3 linked regions of the Oryctolagus cuniculus genome follow. The protein of the gene in region 2 interacts with the protein of the main gene of each other region in a biochemical or structural test. Links are inferred from orthologs where the notes say so. Each region holds a gene or a part of one and is shown on either strand. Other genes may lie near its edges.

Evidence for each region. The genes of interacting proteins can lie anywhere in the genome.
Region 1: the proteins of RUFY1 (region 2) and RAB4A form a complex in vitro, tested with the Homo sapiens proteins (2 studies listed by BioGRID). The link is inferred for Oryctolagus cuniculus from reciprocal best matches to the Homo sapiens genes RUFY1 and RAB4A.
Region 3: the proteins of RUFY1 (region 2) and RAB14 form a complex in vitro, tested with the Homo sapiens proteins (2 studies listed by BioGRID). The link is inferred for Oryctolagus cuniculus from reciprocal best matches to the Homo sapiens genes RUFY1 and RAB14.

Annotation. Positions count from the first base shown.
Region 1 is NC_091444.1:90,078,241-90,084,172, reverse strand, and holds part of RAB4A (ras-related protein Rab-4A), read right to left. Parts: intron 4,276-5,932; coding exon 4,161-4,275; intron 1,876-4,160; coding exon 1,813-1,875; intron 671-1,812; coding exon 516-670; intron 1-515. UniProt on the Homo sapiens protein: The small GTPases Rab are key regulators of intracellular membrane trafficking, from the formation of transport vesicles to their fusion with membranes.
Region 2 is NC_091437.1:67,898,265-67,904,196, reverse strand, and holds part of RUFY1 (RUN and FYVE domain-containing protein 1), read left to right. Parts: intron 1-459; coding exon 460-561; intron 562-1,830; coding exon 1,831-1,947; intron 1,948-2,605; coding exon 2,606-2,773; intron 2,774-5,687; coding exon 5,688-5,785; intron 5,786-5,932. UniProt on the Homo sapiens protein: Activating adapter involved in cargo sorting from early/recycling endosomes. Regulates retrieval of proteins from endosomes to the trans-Golgi network through interaction with the dynein-dynactin complex.
Region 3 is NC_091432.1:225,174,778-225,179,898, forward strand, and holds part of RAB14 (ras-related protein Rab-14), read right to left. Parts: intron 2,622-5,121; coding exon 2,534-2,621; intron 2,210-2,533; coding exon 2,179-2,209; intron 1,205-2,178; coding exon 1,027-1,204; 3' UTR 1-1,026.

The DNA.
Region 1 (5,932 bases), on a different chromosome or scaffold from region 2:
TTACGTGACATTCTCAAGTATTCTATATGGAAATTCAGAGATGTCTCAAGATCACTTATAATCAATGACCTAAATTTAGTGTAAGTGAAACCAATAAGCCATGTATTTCTTCTATTTCCCTTTCTAGTTATGACTAACATTTTGCCAATTTAGCAAACTATGTAAAAGAGAAAAAAAGGGACATAATCTGGTTAGGGCCTTCAGAAATCATTGCTATAAATTTCACCATAACCCAAGACCTCTCACACTTCAAGGTCCTAGAGACTGAGAAGTCATTACCGAATGCTGGTCATTTGCTTTTACCATTACGGTAACTTTTGTAGGCAGAAGGCAATAAATATACAGGAAATACGTGAAATGCAGTCTAAATGTGCAGTGAAAACAATCAGAAATTCTACATGTCCTAAAGTATTTCCATTTAATCTGGAAATGCAGAGAGATGTCTTAGACTCAAAGAGGTGCACATCACCAAAGCCAGTGCTGGAAAGGCCAGGAGAGGTAAAAGCGTCACTTGCCATTTTCCTGGGCGAACCTGGAGGCTTCCAGGAAGGTGACCTCGCGCTCGGCATCCAGGTCCCTCTTGTTCCCGCACAGGATGATCACGATGCTCTGGCTCGCTAGCATTCTGGCATCTGTTAACCAATTAGTAAGCGCATTGTAGGTTTCTCGGCTGCGTAACATAAGATTGCGAGAATAATACAAGTATTTTATGAAACTAGCAACTCTTTCCAGTCACTCTCACCGCTCACGCCACTCTTCAACATTGCAGAGAAATGGCAACAATCCCTTGATGGTAACTCAGACAACCTGAACGCGCCGGGTAGGTGCCATCTCTCTATCACTTTGACCCGGCACCTTGGGCATCTGCTGGTTTGGTCTGCCCAGTCACGCTGGGAGAGGACACAAGTTCTTCCCTTTGGTTTACAGACACTCACTGAGCACTTAGCATGTGCAAGGCACAGCAAGATTTCATCTCAGCTTGGTAGGGTTGTCCAAAATCACACGGCGGCCAATGGCAAGTCCAGGACTCGACCAGGTCTGTCCCACTCTGCCCGCCTCCCTCAGAGCGTACCGGAGCGGGGAGTGGCTGGGTGACACCATCCCACCCCACAGGTTCCTAACAAAGGGACTCCCAAATGACAGCCTTTAGGTTCCTTGTACTTCGAAGGCAATGCTTGCAAACACAGAGACCAGTGTTGTGGGATGGGATGTCTTCAGGGACAGGAATGCTCTAGCGTCAGCACAGTTGGATGCATAGTGACCAGCCACATGTGGCTTCTGAGGCCAAGGAATGTGGCCAGTGCCACCAGGGAACTGAATAAATTTTCCATTGAATTACCCTACGTGGCTAGCAGCTACCACGTGAGTACTATTATCTAATTTAAACCTCCCCTAAACCCCAGTGGCTCACAAGGCTCTCACCGCCCCATTTTGGACAAGGAAGCTGAGATCCACATAGCTGAAGTGCCTTGCCTGTGGCGTTCACACAGCTGGAGAGTGGCACTGGGACCAGGAGCCAAGCACCCTGAGCCCAAGGCTGAGTCTCCCCTCTCTGTCAGGTCACTTGCGGTGACTGGCCACCCAGACAGCTGCATGCCAAGTGTCCTAGTGTCATGGCACAAAACACCATGAAACAGGAAGCGCAGCTCTCCCTATCCAGCACCTTGCAGACGTGGTGAAGCAGCGGGAGGGGCTGGTCCCAAAGGGAAGGGGCTGGTCCCAAAGGGAAGGGGCTCCCTGGATGCCGGCCACACTGCACGGGGGGAACCTTGCCAGGACCGGCCTCCTCCTGAGGATGGCGGGCGTCATTACCTGGTGATGTCGTAGACCAGCAGAGCCCCGGCCGCGCCTCTGTAGTAGCTCCTCGTCACCGACCTGAAACAATCACACGGTTTCACTTTCAACCAGCTGGGCCTCTCCCGTGGGGGAAAAAGAAAAACAAACCCTACTTCTGTTTTCTAAAACCACAGTTCAAACAGGACCGACTCAGAGAGCCCTGCATGTGCGTGCGAGGAGTTACTCAGTCTGAAATCCTGTCCCAGAAATGACAGGGGTTGGAATGGGGGGCGGGACAAGGAGCACGGTCCAATCAAGGGCCGGCTCTGAGTGGAGGAGGGGGAGGTGCCAGCAGGTGGAAGGCAGCCCCCTCCACCTCTTCCTGGGGTAAGAAGGGAACCCGGCATCCAGTGCCCGTTGCCCTGGGCTCAACTTCATTCCCCTTCCCGTGACTAAAAGAGAACACTGCTTCACCCGCCTCAGTGCCTGCACCCCTCTCTCTCTGCTGGAGTGAAACAAGACCGGCTCTGCCACTTCCCATCTAAAAAAGAAAAAAGCAGAACAGCCTTGCAGCTCCTGTCCACGGTCAGCCCTCCCCACGCCCCGATTTCTCGGGAGTTTTCTTCCCTGCTGCTTCTCCAGCCCAGCCTGATGGGCGCCCAGCTAGGTGCCTCCGAGGAGCGGAAGCCAGTGGGCATTTCTGTGCTCCCAGCCCAGTCCCGGCTCAGTCTGGCTGGGGCCTGGGTTTCCTATTCTACTAACCATTGAGTGAAAAATTTTCTCTGTACCTCAGACTACTTCCGTAAGATCCAGCTGTGGCTCTCTACGTCACACTTGCCATCTGTGAGACACAACTCTCTCTCTCTAGCCCACTCTGGCCCAGGCCTGGGAAGGGGCAGCACCACCTCACCTACCCAGTGTCTAAGGCAAGTCATCCGCACACCTATCTATCTACCCGCCACCCCTGGGTGCCCCTGCACACTCGCCTGTCAGCTGAGTCCTATTTCTCACACTTGACACGGACTGTGTGAAGATCTGTCCCAATCGCACCAGCACCACACACACACACACGGAGAGCCACATGGACAGCCGTGTGCCCACATGCAGACGAGACAGTGTGGGTCAGGGGCTTCTCCCTCCAGACCACCTGGAGAATTTCCTCGGAGGAGGCACAGGTGCTCCAATCCTTTTCTTTTCCCTATCTTTTCACACATTCTTTTTGCTAATTTTGCTTTTGTGTGCCTTGCATTAAACCAATTAATTCAGGAACTATCTTTGCCTCACTCAGTTTGTCGCTCAATAAAAAGATAAAAAGGACTTGCAACTCTTGGAAAAATTATAGTTTTTGAGGCTGAATTTGTCCCCAGGTACTGGGGGAGCTGGACACCCCGCTAGCCCAGCAGGTCAAGCTGAGACCCTGTGTGAACTCAGAGACTGCGCCTCCCACCTTGCATGGTACAAACACTTCAGCTTCTTCGTGGAGCCCAGCGCTTCCTGTCCTGGCCTTTTCTGGGACTCAGTGGTTTGGGTGGGGTTCTGAGAAGGGGATGACGGGATGGCATCTACCACGGTAATCAGTGCTTCCAGAGGCAGCTGGTGGTTAAAGACCGGGACAGTGTTTGTGAAGCATTTAATATTATCCAATGTGGCTTGGATGAACCGTTTGCAGTGGGGGTGAGTTTCACCCCTCTGAATCTTGAAACTATGCTATCTGCTCTATTTTGTCTCAGTGTGTCTGTGCAAAAAACAACCAAAACATGAATCGATTTTCTTGGTTTACTGACTGCAGAACAGGAAGCCGTGGCCTCATCGTGCAGTGAGCCGAAGTCCTCATTCTAGACGTGCGTCACGCCTGTAGCACAGCAAAAGAGAGGCTGTCTTGTGGGATGGGTATCAACCATGGGACTACGTCTGGCTAATAAACAAACAGAATTGTCACAAGAGGTTTCAGAAAGAGTCCTCTGTGGAAGGGAATGCAGACAATAGCCTGAGCTGCTGCCTTGCCTCGCCTGTCATCGAAGAGCACTCTACACAATGCAGAGCACCACGTCCTCCCGAGGGTGGTCTGCCTTTGAGCCACCAGGCAGTCACTCGGAGATTCTGCTGCACTCCTCAGCAAACCAGTGCTGCACAGAGCTCAGCTGAATTCCCGCTGTCTCGTCTGCGACAGCTTCCAGAAGGGACATTTCTGAAATCAATGTGAGAGAGTGTGTGGGTGTGTGTGCGTGTGCACACACGTGCACGTGGCGGGGAGGGGCTGTGCAGTGTGGGAGGGGGCAGAGAAGAGGGTATCGGTGGGGTGAGACCCCATACACTGAGAGAAAATAATTAGTGATTTAAAATCCAATTTTCAAGTATTTTTATTAAATTAGAGAAACAGCTACCTGAATCGTTCTTGTCCTGCAGTATCCCATATCTGTAACTTTACATATTTACCACCAACATTTATTATCTTTGAACCAAATTCCACTCCTATTGTATGATTTGAGTCATCTTTGACTAAAAAAGAAAAACAAAGACAGTGATATTTAACTTTAGAGCATTAACATTAACAGGCTTAAGGATTTATATAAGTAACAATGAAATCACTGGAAAATGGAATTTACGACAGCCGTTCCTTTCTCCAGCTGTCGGCAGGCAAGACGCATTCATGGTTTAAACAGAGCACACGCAGTCCCTAACCTCAGACTCTTTAAACACATCACACCTCAAAGCCTCGGCCTGGAAGTGGCCGTGCCACGTCCAGACCCAACTGTTACCGTTAGGGAACTCACCGACGCCCACTGCCCTGTCAGTGGACTCTAAGCCCACTGACAGGCAGGGCATTTGGCAAATAATGGGGTGATGACGGTTTCAACTATCTGAATAGATAATATTCCAAAGCAATAAAACATAAACGGAAGGAAAAGTACTGAAGCCTACAAGGAAACACGATAGATACCAAGATTATGAGAAAAGAAGGAAAGAAATGAAGGCCCCAAACTCTCCAAACAGACCCCCAAAACACCACCCTGTGCATCTACAGGTGCTGAGTTTTCGTGCTGTAGGACAACGGTCTGTGTGGGAGACAGGCAGGGTAAGGGTTTCATGGAGCCCCACTGGCATGCACTGTCTCTGAGAGTCTCCTGTGATGGTGGCGGGATAAGCTACGCTCACACCACAGCTACTGACTAGTTGGCATTTTATACCTACAGAATACAATGGAATTGTCCTGGGAATGGGGCTGCCCTTGGCAATCGTACGCTGCTTCCTGAGGTGTGGGAGACCCAATGGTATGCAGACTGTCAGTCTGTCTCACACACAGCTGGCAGAGAACCCGCTAGAATAAGCTACCAGGCAACACCTGTGGCGAAAGGGGCATCCTCATTACGACACGGCCATGAGAAATGAAGTGCCGCCTCTCACGCCACCATGGGTGGGGAGGATTCAGGGGAGGATACTCCAGAGGAGGCCCCTCCAGGGGAGGCCGAGGTGGACAGACTGCCCCCCCAAGTCTGGTCCCTGGCCTAATTTCCTCTGGGCATTTTCAGAGCCGCTACAATGCAAAGTCCTGGTATACTTGGAAAGAAAGGTGGACTGGCTGGTGCACGGTGCCTGCTGAATTTGGGAGGACGGGTTCTGTGACTAACACAGGCTCGGTCCCTGTCATTCAGCGGACGCACCAACAAGCTCTCGGTTGATAAGGGGAGCAGCAGAATAAACTACACAAACTTCACCTCTTGACTCACCGCTTGAGCTATTTCCCGCACTTGCTTCAGATGTGCCTTGCTAAGTCATACTAATTCTGCTTTTCAGTCTTCACCCAATGGCCACTACACTCCACAATTCTTTCCATTATGTAGCAGCACTGGTTATTTGAAGGGCCTTTCAAACCTGCAGTCTTTGTACAATCTTCCCAGGGTGCCCTTACCCAGACGGTGCTCACAAATGACCAAAGACTGGCTCTGTGGTCAAGATGGCGCCAATTACCAGGGGACAAGCTCCTTTCCACCTGCCTCCTGGCTTGTGAAACAGACCCCATGACAGTAACCACCTTAACCATAGGACGAGGACGCGGTGTGGACCAAATGCTGTTACTTGATCCACTCTGGACTCTACGGTTCCTCTGGCCGTGCTATCAGGCCTCTGCTGTCCTCAACATCACTTTAACTCTTAG
Region 2 (5,932 bases):
AAGCATCTTCAACCTGGTGGATGTTTTAATTACAAGTGAGAGCATACCATGTAACCCACCTGCGCTCCCTGTCCGTGTTGCATCCTGGGTTGTTAAAAGCCTTCAAGTATTTATGAACTGTAATTTCTTGAACCACTTCTCTCGCAGTAGACTCAGACTGTTTCTGGTTTTGTGTGTCCGTGAACCACTGCCTGTATTAAGTAGCTCATGGTCGATTTTGCCAGAGAGAGCGAGCCTAGGGAGGCAGAGCTGGCGAGGGGAGGGCCGGAGTATTTACAGCATGTATTTTTTGGTCTTTGGAATTTTGAACCGTGTCTTACCCATTCAAAACAAGGAAATAAAACGTCAGACACGTGAACATGCATCATAAATAGTGAAGACGCCAAATAATGTTAGTTTTTAATTAGCATAGTAAGATAAATGCTGATGTTAAGAAATGTCAAAATCTTCCCTAATCAGCTTTCAGCGGCAACTGACCGGATTTGCTCACTTGAAGAAGAGCAGCAGCAGTTAAGAGAACAAAATGAATTGATCCGTGAAAGAAGTGAGAAGAGTGTGGAGGTGAGAGCCTGGCCTCGCAGCCAGGCGGCCTGTCTTTCTCTCAGATACACCCGGTGCCAGTCTTGAGCTCAGTAGCCCTTGAGGGATTGGTTCCTGGGTCCCTGGGGATACCAAAATCTGTACATGGTCCCGTCCTTGTATACAGTGGCATAGCAAAGGCATGGAACCAAGGAAATCCTTATCTACTCTAAGTCGGCTGTAGGGATGGGCCTTTGCCCTCGCCTTTAGGATGCCCACAGCCCACGTTGCATTCCCTAGGTTTAATTCCTGGCTCTGGCTCCTGACTGCAGCTTCCTGCTAATGCAGTAATGGTTCAGTTGACTTGGCTTTCTTCCTTGCACATGAGAGAGCAGGACTGAGTTCCCAGTGCCCATATTTGGCCCCAGCGGGGGGCCATTTCAGATATTTGGGGAGTGGACGGGAGCCAGCTCTGTGAATCTGCATCTCAATAAATAAATAAATAATGTTTTAAAATCATCTCTAGGTTACTTATAATACCTTATATAATTAAATGTATGTGAGTGGTTGTTAAGTTGTACTATTTAGAGAATAATGACAAGTAAATTATGCATATTCATTTGTTTTCCCTGAATGTTTTCAATTTGTGGTTGGTTGAATCCACAAATGTAAAACCTGTGCAGACACAGCAGGTCAGCTGTAGTACAGTACTGACTCAGTGCTCATAACATGTGAGGGGCCTAGCCCACGTCCCTCTTGGTCTATGTGGACGCCTCCACTCTGGACCTCTGCAAGCCACACTTCCTGTTCACTTTTCAACATCTGCTCACATGCAGACTCCTGTACCACCACCCTCGGCACGGTGGTGGGCCTAGGCATCCCCTCTCCCATGTTCCCGTAGCTCTTTTACCTCCCTCCGGTACAGAACCCGGTTACTGTTTGTAGAATTCCTGGCTTGCAGCTAAGTCTCAGCATGTCTGAGTTCCCTCTAAATCCTCCCAGGGCTAGATCAAAGTACGGTCAGTAAACACTAAGTGACCCATTAGGAGAAGGCCTTTCCCACTAAGGACTATTATTCTGTCATAAAGAACATCAGCTCTAAGTGACTGTGAACGTGACCAGGACCTTTCAAGCATCTCTTGGCTGCTCTCATCCTTTATCTCCAAGTTCAAATATTGTCAAGATTTTATATCTCTGTCATGCTTAAAAATAGAAATTATCTCTCTTTTTAAAAAATGTTGGTCTGTTTTTAAAATACTTTGTAGCTAGCTTTTGGAAGCAAACGGTTGCTCTGGGTATTGTTTGATACAGATGACAAAACAAGATACCAGAGTGGAGCTGGAGACCTACAAGCAGACCCGGCAAGGCCTGGATGAAATGTACAGCGACGTGTGGAAGCAGCTCAAGGAGGAGAAGCGGATCCGACTGGTGAGCGGAGGTGGCGGGTCTGGGGGGCGCTGCGGGAGCCCGCGGCCCTGTGCCGTGGGGAGGCGGGAGCTGCCCATTCTCCGTGGGAAGCCCTGTGTGTTTACGGCTCAGTGCTGCGTTGTCACTCAGACACCTTTTCCCCCATTCTGCAGTCCTGTTTTCAGGGGTTGCCTTGACCAGACTCGTGGTTTCTGTGACAGAACTGTTCCCTCAGTCCGAGCCCTAGGTCCGCGTATTTCCACGCACTGTGTGTCTGCGACCAAGGTTCTTTACTACACATACTTCTCACACCTGCATGGTGCGGGAAGTGTGTCCTGAGCTGTCCAGGACAAACGGTTGCACTCTGGTGCCATCACCTAGCAACCGTCCCAGAAGTTCTACCATCGCGAAACAGCCAGTTGCTGCCAGCACCGAAGCCCACGACAGACATCCTTGTACACCGTGGGGAGAATGTGGGTGCTGGAGCTCTAGGCAGCCAGTGCCACTGAGCAGCTCTGTCAGCTTGACCATGGACTGTGCCATCTAACTGTGCTACAGACTCTTGTCCATCTCCCCAGCTGTCCTGACTTGTGGTTTGTCTTTGAGACGTTGCCCACCATACAACCTCAAGTAATACCCTGCTGTGGTTTAACATCTTCCTTGTAAATATCCTCTTAAGGAACTAGAAAAAGAACTGGAATTACAAATAGGAATGAAAACGGAGATGGAAATTGCAATGAAGTTACTGGAGAAGGATACCCACGAGAAGCAGGACACCCTCGTCGCCCTCCGCCAGCAACTGGAAGAAGTCAAAGCAATTAATTTACAGATGTTTCACAAAGTTCAGGTGGGAGCTGGCTCCGTGTCTTCCCTGCTGCTTTCTATAGCCTTTAAAAAAAGAAAAGATTTATTTTGAAAATGTTAGAGAGAAAGGAAGAGACAGACATCTTCCATCCACTGGTTCACTCCCCAGATGGCCACAGTGGCTAAGGCTGGGCCAGGCCGAAGCCAGGAGCTAGGAGTTTCATCTGGGTCTTCCACATGGGTGCAGGGGTTCCAAGCACTTGGGCCATCTTGCACTGTCTTTCTCTGGCCGTTAGCAGGGAACTGGATCAGAAGTGGAGGAGCCGGAACTGGAATCGGCACCTGTATGGTATGCCAGCATCGCAGGCAGCGGCTTTACCTGCTATGCCACAGTGCCTGCCCCTCTACAGTCCTGCTTCACTCTTCCTGCCACGTGAGTGGCCCAGCACATCTGTGCACCTCTAGTATGTCAGGCCTGGTCTCGGCCCTCTGGCATGTCATGAGTGAAAGACACTCACGGCATCAAAACTGGTGACGCTTCCTTACCCAGAGGCCACTCGGGGCACCATCCTGCGTCCTTCTCAAGCTTGTCCTTGAAGTTCTGCTTCCTGTTTCATTCCCAAAACATTCCCAAAATGCTGCATTTTCCATGGACGTAGGCTGACTCTCACCAAAGATGGCATGAGGGCAGACAGTGTAATAAACCGGGTTCAGTTTGACTTGACTTGAATGATAATCAGTATTATACCAGCAACAAAGAAAATTTAAATACCACAAGGGGGAAAGGAGGAGCAGGTTTCCCCTCATGACAAATCGTCTACGTGAAGTGCTCCTGGTTTCCTCTGCTTGGAGCCCGTATGTAAACGTGCTGTTAGTTAGGGTAAGCTACGCCGCCGTTGTGACTTAGCAGACCGGCTACAGAAGGGAAGCCTGCGTCTCCGTGACTGAGTAGTTGCACGGAAGTACTCAGTGTCACTCCTCACAGCCATTCAGCTACCTAGGCAGCTCTCGCTCTCCCATTCTTCCCACTGGAGAGGGAGAAACACAGGAGTCCAGAGCCAGAGCGTGCTCCCAGCGGCGCAGTGAGAGAGGGGTCGCACACACCACTTCCCATCCCCATCCGTCCCACGGGCAGTAGTTCCTCACCTAACTCCTGCGACAATGCACTTGCCTCAGTTATAGTCTCTGGACAGTTCTCCAGCCTGGTCTTGTTTTTACCTTTGTTTGAAAAGCAGGGAGGGCCGGCACCGCGGCTCACTAGGCTAATCCTCTGCCTGCAGCGCCGGCACACCGAATTCTAGTCCCGGTTGGGGCGCCAGTTCTGTCCCGGCTGCTCCTCTTCCAGTCCAGCTCTCTGCTGTGGCCAGGGAGTGCAGTGGAGGATGGCCCAAGTGCTTGGGCCCTGCACCCGCATGGGAGACCAGCAGGAAGCACCTGGCTCCTGGCTTCAGATCGGCGCAGCACACTGGCCACAACACACCGGCCACTGAGGGGTGAACCAACGGAAAAGGAAGACCTTTCTCTCTCTCTCTCTCTCACTGTCTAACTCTGCCTGTCAAAAAATAAAAAGAAAAGCAGGGAGAGAGAGAGATTTCTCATCTACTGGTTCACTTCCCACATGCCCCTGTTAGCTGAGGCTGAGCTAGTCCACAGCCAGAGGCAGCAACTCAGTCCCTGTCTCCCATGTGGTTTACTGGAGCCATCACCTGCTGCCGCCCAGGGTGTGCATTAGCAGGAAAACGGGAGTCTGCAGTGGAGTGAGGCTCCGAACCCAGACACTCTGATATGGGAAGTGGGTGTCCTAACTGATTTCCCCTGGGCCAACTGCTTGCCCCCGGTCTGTTTTCTCAGCTCAGCGGTTTTTGGAAATAGGTTGTTTAGTTGGCAGATATGAGGTGGTTTTGAAGCTATTCTCTACTGTAGTGTATTCTATTATAGTGTATCTCCTTAAGGTCGGTTGCTACATCCTTTCATTGTAAGCGCCCAGGAATAGAGAGCTCCCTCCTGGGCACTTGGTGTCTGGTCTGGCTAAAGGCCTGGACTCAGAGAGTCGTACAGGCGTGGACGGGAACAATCACGCCCCCGCGAGCTTTCTACCTGCAGCCCATTGCTTCCTCTTCCTGGGCCTCCATCTGTCCTAGGGAGGTGAGGTGTCCTAGGGTGAGGCTGACAGCGCCTCCCTGGAGAATCCTGCAGGGGCTTAGTTGCATGGGCCTGGCAGCTGGGGACAGTTGGGGACCTGACTCAAGGCCCTTGTCAAGGAGCAGCAAAGGTCGTACCTTCCTCTTTGCCTTTCTTTCTGTTGGCAGCTGGGAGCTGTCGCTCCCCCTCTTTGCGGAGGAACGACACTAGACCCTGCGCTGTTCTTTTATCTGCTCGGCCCTTCCCGGGTTAGCTGCCGTTCCCTCATTCATGGAGGAATGACGCCGTCCAGGGTTAGCTGCCGGCCCCTCCACCTCCGTGGAGGGGCGGCACCCCCTGCCGCTTTCCCCGCTTCCGTGGAAGAGCGGCACACCGCCGGCTGGCTCTCTCGGGGGCTGCTCAGATGTTCCTCAGGTGTTCCTTCAGATGTTCCTGGTGCATGTTGTCTCTCTCCTCCTTTATAGTCCTCTTCCACCAATCCCAACTCTGCTACCCACACGCCGAGCACGCTGCTCTCCTCCAGTCAGGAGCAGGATCAGCTCCTGCAGCTTATCAAACTGATGAGGCAGCTGCGTAGAGGTTGTTTGCTCCCTCAGCGCCATATTGTGGGAGAGCAGATGCATAGAATAAGTCTTAATTCCAGTAACTTAGTCTAGTCTCAGTTGCTCCCCACAGGGAGCCCTGCCCAGTTTGTCTGCCAGGGCTGTAGGGAAGAGGAGTAATCAGAAAAAGTAGGCTAACATTAAACCCCACTAGTAATCCGAACAGGGATGGGGGAGGTGGGCGACTCTGAACCCCTGTTCTTGCTTTCGCAGGATGCTGAGAGCAGTTTGCAGCAGAAGAATGAAGCCATCACATCTTTTGAGGGTAAAACCAACCAAGTTCTGTCCAGCATGAAGCAGATGGAAGAAAGGTAATCCCTCCCCCGAGAAGATGCCAGGCATTTCCTGGGCTTGGAAGCTGACTCAGAGACCCTCTCAGTACAGACCCTGAGAGGGCAGCATTGTGGTTAAGTCCCCGCTTGTGATGCCAGCCTTCCATGTCAGGGTGCCAGTTTGCA
Region 3 (5,121 bases), on a different chromosome or scaffold from region 2:
TTACAAAAAGAGAAAAGCAGGTTAGCACATTGTCGATTGCACAAGAATAGTTAAGAAAATCAGCAGAGAAGCCACAGTGCAAAGATGGAACAGAATTGGCTAGTGTTAATCCTTTGATGCTAGGAGCTCTTTCCAGCATAATGTCCCCAACACTGCCAGCACCAAGGGGTGGAGCCAGTACTACTTGTGAACTGCAGTTTTGTCTATTTTCTTACGTGAAATGGAGGGAGTAACATGGTCACATGTAGGTCATACTGTACAAACTGGTAATTTTATACTGTTCCAATGCCAGTAATCAATTTATTTTCTTCATTAAAATAATATACAAAGAACGTATTGTTAGTTCGGTTCCTTCGAATTTTATACATATTTACTTTCTGTTAAAGAGAAAGGATAAAATAATGTAAAAAAAGGATAAAGCTATTAATTAAGCACAAGAGAAAAAGATAAATGAATATTTTTCCCCGTGCAAGGCTAAGACAGAAGCAAACCTCATCAAGAAAAATACCACCCACACAACAGGGAATTTATCCAACAAAAACAAAACAGAAGCAGTTACTGAACCCCTTCTCTGCCATCAGCAGTCACTTCACAGCGATAAACTTATTGGTTACACCAGACATACTTGAACAGTTCAAGATGGGGAGAAGGCTTAAGATATCATCAAATTAAACCATACAGTAAGACGAAGCCTTGCCAAAAAGGGAGGGTCGAAATCATTGAAGTCCAGCATCAGTGCTCAGTTTAAATCATATTGGTGACAGAGCTATCACAAGGACAATCAAGGGGGAAAAAGTCTAGATTCACCATGCAGGAGAGATTTATTACTCTACTTGCCTTTGATAACCTGATTACATCTAGTTGTTTAGCAGTTTAGTATTGTGTTAAACTGTTTTTACAACAGAGTTTTGTTTTGTTTTTTAATTAAACCCAGTAAGATGTACAGAAGACAACGAGGCAGTAAAAAGTACTGCTTCCAACAGACAGAGGTGAAAGGTCAAATGAGAGGCCAGAGCAAAGAGGTCACTAGCAGCCACAGCCTTCTCTCTGGGGTTGGGGCTCACTGGTTAGCCGGCCTCCCTGCGGGGCTGAGGGTTTGTGTTGTACACCGGACTCGGCAGCATTCAGATCCAGGCTTCCGTCCTGAATGTTCTGATAGATTTTCTTGGCAGCCTCCAGGAAAGCATCTTCTACATTCTCTCCCCTAAGAGGCAAGTGACAACTTTATTCGAGAACCACTGCTTTCTACTAAAATAAGACTTTATACACTGCCCTTTTGCTAACCTTTAGTCAAGTGCCATGGTGTCTTCAATTTAGCCACTGTCTGGTAAGAGATTACCAGAAGCCTGAGCTAAGAGAACAACATGGGAAAATATTTCCTGTGGAAAACACATAAGCATCGTTCTAAGAGCTATTCTGCAGACCTCTAGCTGGATAGGCGTATGTGCTCTAGTCATTACAATACTATTTGTTACTAGATGACAGGACAGCTGAGATTAGAGAAATGGAATCTGTACATGCTGAACAGGATTCTGGGATCTGCAGGATCTGATCAGCCAAACGTGAACTGTGCTGTTTGTATGTAATGGTGACATGTTCACACTGAGCACTGTGCACACTTCAGTTCTCTTAGAGATCACACTACAGATAATGCTAAACAAAAAAAGCCAAGCCTCTCACTACCACTGCAAGGAATCGGAGGTCTGATAACTGAAGATCAATGACTGGAATAATGTAGAACTGGAGTTCCACAGCTGACATGGAAAAACAATTCATCATGCTTTTGATCAGACACTAAGTATTTCCCTAAGTCATGCTTTTCAACGGGATCTCTGAGGTAAAATACTACCAGCAAGTTGGCCAAGCTTGGGTCTGAGATGCCAAACCAGCTCGGTTGTGAAAGTCAAACACTTCTGGAATGTAAACATGGTCTCACTGATTAACCTGGTTTTACCAATGGCATAATCAAGGTCCAATATTACAAGTAGAAAAACTCAGTATTATTTTGAAATACGAAACAGGAAGTAGAAATGTCTGCTCAATATTTTTCTTGCCACAGCACTGCACATTTATGTATTATACAGTAAATGAACAATTATATTATATACTTTGATAAACATGGTTTTACACTCAGAAGCTAAAATATAACTGAAACATCTGTATTTTAGCCATACTTACGTTTTTGCACTTGCTTCAAGGAACAATAAGCCTAAAAATAAAATTCAGACTATAATGAGGACACTTCAAACTCACCAGGGCATTCTCTTCAGTAACATCTGACCAGAAGCTGCCTATCTATCAGCTATCAATACTCTCACTAACACGGCATTTTATGAAAGAGGGAGTATAAGGGGGCAGCATCATTATCTGTCATTAATTGTACTACTCCTGATATGAATCTCACAGAAATACATTTCTTCATTCTTGAGATTTTTTCCATTTTTTAAAAAAACTGTCAATCTGCAATAACAAAATCCCACCTTTCCTTAGCAATTCTCCCAAATGTGACCATTAAGTCTTAAAGGAAACCCACCGTTTTCTTCAGCAAACTGTTTGGCTTCTTCATATGTAACATCTCTCTGTGCTTCCAAGTCTGCTTTATTTCCTATGAGAATTATTACCTAATTTGTGATCAAAAGAAAGACATCTTAAAACAAAGCAACCATTTAAGTCAATCATTCAAATTGTGAAATCTAAAATTCTGGACAGAAAACCACCTGGGCCTTTTTAAATGTAAAACAAGTCTGGGGGTACTTCAAAAACTTCAAGGGAAAATGGAATTAAAAATTAAATATTTTAATGCAAAAAATTTTTTTAGATCCATCAGTTTATTCCATTAACTTTTTGAAAGCAATTACCCACCAGGAAGGACTACAGAACCATAAAGTCATTAAGTACTAAGAAGAACCTAGACAACCCTCCATGCAAAGAGGTGACAAACTTTCTGTAAAGAGCAGAGTCTATTTTTCAGGTTGGTGGGCCCCACAGTCTCTTTGCATATCCTTCTTGGCTGTATTTTTGGGGTTTTTATTCTTTAAAAACATAAAAATCATCCTTACTTAGCAAGCCATTCAAAAACCGTCTGGGGGCCAGATAATAAAGCTTCATCTTATATAGGCCAAAAAGTATGACTTATCTAAGGAAGATTACTAGGGGTCTATGACCAAGCTCCAGGGGATCTGTGACTGCCCTGAAGTGAAGTGCAAAATGCTTTATAAACATGGACATCCCCCGGGGGAAAAGGTTCATGGGTTCCACCCGATTTTCAAAAGGTTCTGGGAAGCTCCGAAAATTTTAAGAACTACCTAAAGTACTGGGGAGGAAATGACAGCTCAAAGGCACAGCAACATCCTAAAGGCCTCTTACTAAGCTGGTGGTAGGAGGACTTTTCCTAGTTCGGCAGAAACCTAAATGGTGGCCTCAGAGAAATGCTGTGCTACCCCACAGCTTCCATAGGCAGGACCAAGTTTGTAGCAACTGGTAACAAATGCCTGCGTGTATCAGGGAAAGGGAAACTACTAGGGGTAGAAGATGGGGACCTTATAGGATGAGTTCAAATCCAAGACAAAATAACACATACCTGTGTCTACTCTGGAATCATCTCTACAGGGAAGACAGGCTAAAGTTAAGGGAAGCTCTGCAAAGTTCTAAGGAAAAAGCAAGTAACCTTGGGAAACACTCAGATACTTCCCTCCTCTCCAACTCCTTATGAATTTACTAGGGGCTGGGGGTAGGCTGTACACTTTACATAGAGACATCCAGCACATGTACTTGTTTTGACAACTGGTAATACTTCCCCTTCCGGATACAGGAATCCAGATATAGACACTTTAGGAAAGGATAGCTTCAACTAAAAGGTACTTTCCCATTAATGTTTTTTTTTTCATATGAAAAAATGGCTCGGCCGGCGCCACGGTTCACTATGCTAATCCTCCACCTTGCGGCGCCGGCACACCGGGTTCTAGTCCCGGTCGGGGCGCCGGATTCTGTCCCGGGTGCCCCTCTTCCAGGCCAGCTCTCTGCCATGGCCCGGGAGTGCAGTACTTGGGCCTTGCACCCCATGGGAGACCAGGATAAGTACCTGGCTCCTGCCATCGGATCAGCGCGGTGCGCCGGCCACAGCGCGCCAGCCACGGCAGCCATTGGAGGGTGAACCAACGGCAAAGGAAGACCTTTTTCTCTGTCTCGCTCTCTCACTGTCCACTCTGCCTGTCAAAAAAAAAAAAAAAAAAAAAAAAAAGGCTCTTCCATTTTTGTCCAATTAACCAAACAACCATTTTGATCTGAATGTAAACCTTTTGCAAGGAGATCAGTTAGGTAGTACAAGTGAATACTCTTCAACTAGCATGTAGAAATGTCCACTAAGAAGAGAAAGAATGTTCATATTATAGTCTACTAGTCTTTTAAAAAATAAAGAAATGACAATTAAAGAAGTAATCAATTTTTTTAAAAGCCTGGTAAAGTTAACAATAGTACAGGGTCATTATGGCACGGGACTCAAAACAAGAAATACTGCTTCCTTTCCAAATTCCTTATGAATTTCTATACTGGGCATCCTATCTCCTGAAAGGAGAGACATAAAATTACATGCTAGCAACACAGAGGTACAGAAGACATTGACAACATGAGAAAGCACACAGCTTCTACACAGAAAGCCAAAGCAACTCTACAGAAAACCTAACCGCTTGTGCAGGACCTTAAAGAAAGGATTTTCTGGGTTTTCCTTCTGAGGATTACAAAGGGCAAAATGAGGCAGGAGGACACAGTGAATTTTTTTTACTATATTCCATGGAACATCTACGGTCAGTTTTTTGTTTTTAACATTTTATTTGAACAATCGTAGACTCATGGAAGCTTACAAAAAATACAGAGGTCATATAACCTGACCAATAGCAGCAACTTAAATGTAGAGCACTCTCAAATCCAGGAAATGGACATGTGTACAAACTACAGCTCTTACAAAGATTTCACAGTTTTTACACACTCGCATACATGTGCTCCTGTGTAGCTCTATTCAATTTTATCATAGGTACAGATTTGTGTTACCACAATTGAGATACTGAAATGTCCCATCACTACAAAGGAATTGCTCTGTGGCACTCTCATCACAGTCACACCACT